Danio rerio: one gene and its partner. The protein of the gene in region 1 binds, or shares a complex with, the protein of each later gene. Links are inferred from orthologs where the notes say so. Each region holds a gene or a part of one and is shown in the gene's direction. Other genes may lie near its edges.

Evidence for each region.
Region 2: eif3ja (region 1) and eif3s6ip share a complex: the UniProt entries of both Homo sapiens proteins name them as parts of the eukaryotic translation initiation factor 3 (eIF-3) complex. The link is inferred for Danio rerio from reciprocal best matches to the Homo sapiens genes EIF3J and EIF3L.

What each region holds. Positions count from the first base shown.
Region 1 is NC_133200.1:34,325,554-34,330,204, reverse strand, and holds the start of eif3ja (eukaryotic translation initiation factor 3 subunit J-A), read left to right. Parts: upstream 1-1,841; 5' UTR 1,842-1,933; coding exon 1,934-1,955; intron 1,956-2,092; coding exon 2,093-2,181; intron 2,182-2,651; coding exon 2,652-2,709; intron 2,710-3,953; coding exon 3,954-4,045; intron 4,046-4,454; coding exon 4,455-4,572; intron 4,573-4,651. UniProt on the Homo sapiens protein: Component of the eukaryotic translation initiation factor 3 (eIF-3) complex, which is required for several steps in the initiation of protein synthesis.
Region 2 is NC_133188.1:46,828,192-46,832,066, reverse strand, and holds part of eif3s6ip (eukaryotic translation initiation factor 3 subunit L), read left to right. Parts: intron 1-1,522; coding exon 1,523-1,584; intron 1,585-1,735; coding exon 1,736-1,805; intron 1,806-2,651; coding exon 2,652-2,725; intron 2,726-3,593; coding exon 3,594-3,765; intron 3,766-3,844; coding exon 3,845-3,875. UniProt on the Homo sapiens protein: Component of the eukaryotic translation initiation factor 3 (eIF-3) complex, which is required for several steps in the initiation of protein synthesis.

The sequences.
Region 1 (4,651 bases):
ATATATAGTGGCTATAGTAAACATGTTTGTGTTGTGCAGATGCCAAATTTTAAAGTTTAAAAATAGAAAACTTAACATTTACCGTACACCACACTGCTTTTAATGCTAACTGCCGACATCTTTGGCTAAAAGGGAGCTGAATGAAGTGACAACCTAATTAGAAATGCTGGACTCTGCAGTTCTCATGTTATATCAAGTTTACGCAATGCTGAATCATGCAAATTACTCGTTTGTGATTGCAGCAATGATTTCAGCATAAACAGTTAAACATGGTTAATTAAACTGCGAACACTGAATGCTAAGAATAATACGTGAAAGTGTAAGTTATTAAGATAAAGTTGGTTTTTATATTCACATATTCATTTAGTGACAACTTGTGACACACTCCCTATATTGTTTACCACGGCACTTTGAATATTCGATCTGAAAAAGCTGCAAGTGTGACTTGAAAACAACATTAGCACTGTTTATTTGACTGTGAGCAATGTTCTACTTCAATAGTCATTGGCGGCTAATATGATTTTGCTATTTAGAGTTTGCAAATAATACTTTTATAAAATTATATTATTAAGGAGAAAGTCAGAATGTGTGAATATAAAACCAACTTTACCTCTATGTGTAAGTTAACGTTGGCTCCGTCTGCTTTCCTTGTCTTTGGCCAAGCAGAACCTCTGTTTTTAGCACTACATAGTTTTGAATCTGGTAATCATGGAACATTATTTCTTACACTTATTTCTTAATCTTGTTAAAACACTTGGAGCTTCGATGAGAGAGTTGTATATTTGGGGCAGGATGCTTGGCCATTTCGTCTTATCCAATATTCATTGGGAGGGTGCTTTCGCGACTCACATCACTCACTTTAACGTTAATTTTGCCAAATCACTGTACTTATCACTGGGTGACAAGCTGTTATAATACGTTGAAAGCATTATGTAAATCATGCATATATATATATATATATATTAAAAAAAATAATATATATATATATATATATATATATATATATATATATATATATATATATATATATATATTTATATATATATATAATAATATATATATATATATATATATATATATATATATATATATATATATATATATATATATATATATATAATATGTAATCAGTATAACTTACTTCTAAGTCAACAAACTCCGCATCGGATGTCATTCCCTCGCTGTAAATGCTAGCGCTCCCCTTTTTTTTCTGCCACTCCCTGCGCGCGCATCCTGAATGTTTAAAAACATGGTAATTCGTCTATAAGGTTCCTTTAATAGCATCGATGTTGTAATGTAATTGAAATACAATCAGTTTAATAGACTTAATCATTTATTAAGTTGTTTAAGTGTAAAACGAGATGAACGATTGCGTAAACGCAAGTGTCATCAGTAGAAGCGTGCTAGTGCAGAAACTCCACAGAAAATACATTTCCATATTTTAAAGACATAACGCAAGAAATCAACTTAATGCAGTACTTCTTGTCCAGTCTAGACCAACTTTATTTCATATATCAATCAGGAAGTAAAGATCACATTAAAAAAAAGAATTCAGATCTTAAAAGTCAATGTACATATACTCAATTTAATTGGACAAAATCAGTAGTGCAGGATGAGTCAATATTTTTGTTTGTTTTCTAGAAGCCGCACTAGATCACACACACTACACAATCTAATAAAAGTTACAGTTAGCAAACAAATGATTGTCTTGAACTAATACACAATCTAAAAGCCACAAAACGACATTTTATTTGATTGTGTGTTAAAAAAATTAACAATGTCTGATAATGGTATTCCTCATGGTACTGCACAATTTACTTGTTTGTAAAATTTCCCTACCGTCCATCGGTGGACCTTTATTTTGAAATTTCCGGAAGTCTTGGTGCAGTGAGTTGAGCTTCACTCTCTCGTTCCCCTCAGCGACTCTGACATCATGGCGGACGCCGATTCTTGGGGTGAGAATTTCTTAAACTCCACCGTTATCTTTCTCTTCTATTCGCTTGGAAACATATAATCTTTTCTACCAGATAAACGTACGCCAAAAATACGCCTGTCATTAAGTGATCTGTCTGAACAATCGGTCGTTTTCCAGATGCGGACAGTTTCGAGCCTGAGGAGCCCATCAAAAAGGCGGCAGTTCATGACAAATGGGAGGGCGAGGATGAGGACGACGACGTGAAAGTTAGTAACGAACCCTTAATTTGTCGTTCTCAAGTAAAAAAAACTGTTTTAACTCTTCTTTAATCCCTACATATCAAGACATTACAGTTGGCTAACTTTAGCTAGCTACTCTTGCTAACTCAAGAGTGTCAAAACAACGTGGTGATAAGTCCTAATACGTGTCTATTTAGTTTGGTGTATACCTGCTTAAATACGCTGTCATAAGTTAAACAGTGAAATTATAGTAATTATATGAGTCAGTTCCATTTCTCTAGGCCTTTAATTACAATTAATAGTTTTGTTAGTGTAGATGGCCTTTTGTAGCAGCATGTCACTGTAGATTGTCACCTGTTGATTATTTAAAATTATTGGATCATCCCAAGGAGATTTCATAAAAGGAAAGTTTGAGAATGTTAATGCTTCTCTTAGGCTAGCAACGAAGATGAAGTGGACTAATTTATTAATTAAAAGTATTCTTCCTTTCCATTTAGGATAATTGGGATGATGATGAAGAGGAAGAAAAGGAGGAAGAGGAGGAAAAAAAGACAGGTACAGTGATGTTCATGAGTTGGGGGAAAAGTGCATTGTTAGGATAAAATGGGGTCAAAGGCCAAAAAGGATTTTGAAGCATCAAAGCATATGTTGCGCAGTGACCATGAGGCTATCAGTGAAGAACAATAATAATTTGATGATATATTAAACTATTTAAGCAATCACGTTGAAGCCTCAAAATACTTACTGTCATTTTTAATCTTTGTAATTTCGCCTTTGTCCTTTAAACCAAGTTCAATTACTTATAAAGCAAGTTTTTAAAGTACATAAAACTAACTTTATACAAAGCAAAAATTATTTAAAAATTTTTTTTTTAATAATAATAAAGTATTGAGAAACCAAGAGAAATACTAGAACTACTAGGTTTTATCTATTAGTATCTATTTACCATAGATTTTAATACTTTTAAAAATTCATAAAGTTTAAGTTAATTTGTTTTAAGTACAGGTCAAAATAAGTATACATTACACTAAATGACGAGAAACCCTTTTCACAATATTTCGACATGCTTTTTTCACAAATAATATTTGAAATATTACATCATCTCATTTGACATGCTAACTGTGTATATCTGCACACCAAAATGGGACGTCTGTTATGAATTTTTTTATTTTGTAGTTGGCTCTATAACTAAATAAATCTACATGCATGAATATACAAACTATTTTAAAAATATTTTTTTAAAAGACTGTAAATTATCCACATTTAAATTCACATAATTACAAAGCATCTGCAGGGTCCTAAAAGTCTTAAATAGTCTTAAATTTCAACTACATTTTAGGCCTTAAAAACTCCTAAATTCACTCAAATATTGTGTTTTAGGTCTTAAATAATTTTAAACAGGTCTTAATTTTGTTTTGTCCAAGTAAAGTTACTCAACCGAAATCCATCCAATCATCCACAATGTGTCTCAATAAAACCTTATTTTTTAAATTAAAGTTTTTTTTATTGCAAAAAGATACATTCCCAACAGCTGTTAGCCATTTCTTACAGAAAATTCCCCAAATTAAATGGCCTAATCAGGAGAAAAAAAAACTAAAAATGATTACTCAATTCCTCAGGACAATACCAGGCCATTAGGATAAATCTCAACCCTGCATAAGTCTAAAATGTCATTCTTAATGTCTTAAAGGGGTCTTAAAAACTCTTACATTTGAATGGATGAAACCTGCAGAAACCCTGATCAGGTACTTCAGTTTGTAACGTTTGTATGCGATTTTGTTTGGATTTTTCATATGCAGAGGCTAAACCTACAGAAAAAAAGAAACTCAGTGAAAAGATAAAAGAAAAGGAAAATTTACAAAGGAAAAAACAAGAGGAGCTCAGAAAACAAGTAAGTTGGCGCAGTAACAATTTATTGATATTAAGCACATTTAATTCACATTGTGGGTTTTTATTTTTTTATTTTGCTGTCACTGTTGAAGTTTATCTTGATATGGCTACAAACTTTGAACTTGTATTATAACTATAACCATTCATGAAGGATTTTGGGGTAAATATATCACAGTTTTAACAAAAAATATATAGCTGATTATAAAACATTGATGATAAGTGTTTCATGAGCAGCAAATCATATTAGAATGAGGATCATGTGACTGCAATAATGATCCTGAGATTTTGAGTTTGACATTTCAGGAATAAATTAGATTTTAAAATATATTATAGTACAACAATTATTGTAAATGCTATTCATTTTGTAAGAATATTTTTCATTAAATGTATACAACATTACATTTTTAAAGCAGTTAGAGGAGACAAAAAGAGACACACCACTCACACCAGAAGATGAACTGGCAGAGAAACTCAGAGTGAAACAACTACAGGAGGATTCAGACTTAGAACTAGCAAAAGAGGCATTTGGTGAGTGCTTTCTGTATATAACATGCATCTACATTTGTTTTTAAAACGGATAAAAGATTCAATTCTGAACTTTTATTCT
Region 2 (3,875 bases), on another chromosome or scaffold:
CCCCTTTAAGCAGTATATATATGTTTGATTGTCTGCAGAAGAAACTACTGTTATACAATGACTTGTCTATTTACCCTAATTAAGCCTTTGAATGTCACTTTAAGCTGAGTATCTTGAAAAGCATCTAGTAAAATATAATGTGCTGTCATTATAGCAAAGATAAAAGATATCAGTTATTAGAAATGAGTTATTAAATCTGTTGTTTAAACTGTGCTTTAAGCATCTTCACTGTATTTTTGATTTTATTATTGATTGATGATAAAAACGGTCGACAGCAGCAGGAATACTGCACGCTGTATTTTTAAGAATAGTACGGCTCTGATATGGTTTCTCTTTCACGTGTCTTTTAATTCTCAACTTGTTTATTACACAAATGAGGGTTAATGTGAATAATCACTAAACACTGCGCTCTGACACAAATGTGCATGTATTTTTGACCATTAAAGCGCTCGCATTAAGATCGCGTTAGATGTGTGTGTGCTCTGCTGTCCGAGGCTAAGCGCGGCGCTCGCGCAAACACACACACGCTACCTGTCAGAGGCAAAGCATGGTGCGCACACACACAACAGCACCTGCTCTTTTGCGCATTTAAAAATATGAATGATGCGCATCCCGTGCTGCAAAAGTTACATTACAGCACATGCTTTTAGTCATTTTCATGTGGAACTGAGCTTTGCAGAGGCAGAGTTTTCACACGTGTACAATGGAAAGGGGGCGGTACGTGATGGAATAATCGTTTATCTCGATTAATGGTTTTTCATAATCGTTAAAAGCCAAAATCGCTCATGACATTTATATATATATATATATATATATATATATATATATATATATATATATATATATAAAAATGTCGTGAGCAATTTTGGCTTTTATATATTTATATATATATATATATATATATATATATATATATATATATATATATATATATATATATATATATATATAGACAATTTAATATATTAAATATATTAAAAATGTAATATATAAGATATGATTGTAAGCTATATATAAATAATTTAGTCTCAAAATTGTTAGCATTTTTGTACATGTATGATTTTACGCTATATATTAATAATCAACATTTATTTAACATTTAAAATTTGATGTATATACATGATATGATTTTAAGCTATATATAAATACTGTTTTTAAGAATATTTAAAATTTGATATAAATATAATTTTACACTATATATAGATAGACATTTAAAATGTAATATACCAGATATGATTGTAAGCTATATAAAAATAATATATTCGTTCTAAAAAATACTTAATTGATATTTTAAATAATTTTATGCTTTATATAAATAATAATACATAAAATATTTGCATTTAAATAATATGTAAAATATTATATATAAATATTTTAAATATCTGTAGACATGGATATGCATATTTTATAAATATAATAAATGTACACAATACGCTCAAAATTATATTTTAAATACAAATTTTTATTTTTGATTAATCATTGAACAGCACTAATCTTTTTTTCTTTATTTTTTATGTAACAGATGCGGTTTTCTTGATCCTGTATAAGGAGCTGTACTACAGGCACATCTACGCTAAAGTCAGCGTGAGTGTTTGCTCATTTATCTCCGAATGTGATTTCTAGTTGTGAATATTTATTTTTGCAAATATAGGCTTAACCTTAGATTGAGTTTCAGCTGATGTGAGGAGCCATGTTGTTTTCTTGATATTTAATAATGCCTGCTTCTCATATGCAGGGAGGCCCAACTCTCGACCAGAGGTTTGAGTCCTACTATAATTACTGCAACCTCTTCAACTACATCCTCAGTGAGTCACACTAACACACAAACCACATCAAATAAAGTATGCTTTGGGGGGATATTTCAAATGTTTGGGGTTAATTTAGTGGTGATATTAAATTTAAGCATCATTGTGAATATTTATTGAAAATGATTACATGGATAGTTCACTTAAATAAAAATTCTTTCATTTACCAACCATCCACTTGTTTTTTTTTTTTTTTGTCTGTTGAACACAAGACATTTTGAAGAAAGTTAGAGACCAGTAGCCACTGACCACTGTTGTAGATTTTTCTTACTATAGATGTTAATGGCTTTCAGTATCCAGCATTCTTCAAAATATACTTATTTGTGGTCAACAAAGCTTAAGAAACAAAAGTCATAAAGCTTTAGAAACACTCAGGGGTGAAAAAATGAGTTAACCTTTAATTTTGGGTGAACTATTTCTTCAAGAAAAAATGCTTTTAAATAAAATACTATTCATTTTCTGTTAGCAGAAGCCATCTGAATAATGTTAGTTATAATTAATTACCAAATATTCAACATTTATTTTTTATATTTAGATAATCTGAAGATGTGGACTTGATTTGTTGATTGTTGTTTTTTGTAAATGTAAAATGTAAAGGCTGGTTTCAGCTTTGCATCACAGGAATAAATCTTTTTAACACACATTCAAATAGAAAAACAGAAATCTCAATATTATTGTACTTGAGTTAATAAAGGCACCCTTTAAAATATGTTTAGTTCTTCCAGAGTCCAAATTTTCAACAGTACTAGTTTAAGACTGTAAAGTTTTTGTTTATATCACCCAGTCCTTGAGTTTGATTATGAGTTATATTTGTGCATATACGATTAATATGGTTTATTATTTCAGACGCTGATGGACCGGCACCTCTGGAGCTTCCTAACCAGTGGTTATGGGACATCATTGATGAGTTTATTTACCAGGTAAGAGCAACCAGCCTGTATTTAATTGAGATCTCTTGTTTCGGCATTTGGACAGGTTTTTTTGTAGTATTTAATGTATGGCTGTCTGAAATATTTCATTCAGATTGGGCTATCACAACATTACTAGGTATGTTATTGACCGATAACAACCACTGAAACTAATAACACAGCAAGTGAGCTGTGAGTCCATTGGAGCGAGTGTTTAACAAGTGTTGAGTCCCATTGAGGAGCTCCAGGTGGGGACTTTTGTTTTGTTTACTTTGATTAAAGTTGTTGTACTTCCGCTGGTTCCTGCCTCTGAATGAGCGATGTAAACAAAACACCCACGAAGAAACTCAACACAGGGGAACATTGAAACCCTGCCAGCTAGTGTATCGGAAGTGTTATTGGAGAGCTACACAAACAGAATGCAGAAGTATAAATGTGCAAGGCATGCACCGTGGTTTACAGGCGATCACTCTGCATAAATATAATTCAGCCTTCATACATAGATTGGTGTATGATCCATCAGCTTTATTCAGCCTTTTTAGTTTTTACATATAATAACCTACATATTATTAATTCACAAGATTGCACTAAACAGCAGCGTGACAAACAAGCAAATACACATCAATGTGGGTGTAAGTATATGGATGTGAACCTATTTATCTACCTATTTATATCCGTTTCCCGGATGATCCTGTGTTAATCAGCGGTCGTTATCTTTAAATAACATACCTTGGAATGTCACAACTGACCAATCAACCAGACAGACATGTAATAATCTGATAACACTCGCCTGGATGCACTTTATCCCTTATGTAGCACATCTAATGAGATGAACGGTTTTATTAAAATCTTAAACGCTGAATCACCTTTTCTCTCTCAGTTCCAGTCATTCAGTCAGTATCGCTGTAAGACGGCTAAGAAATCAGAAGAGGAGATCGAGTTCCTGAGGAATAATCCTAAGATCTGGAATGTCCACAGCGTGCTGAACGTCCTTCACTCTCTGGTGGACAAGAGCAACATCAATCGTCAGCTGGAGGTTTACACCAGCGGAGGTGAAGAGTGTCAGGCAGACTCCTGAGCTGCGGGAACAGTGCAGAACTCAGTGTGTGATGCTTGTGTTTGTGTCTACAGGAGACCCCGAGTCTGTGGCTGGAGAATACGG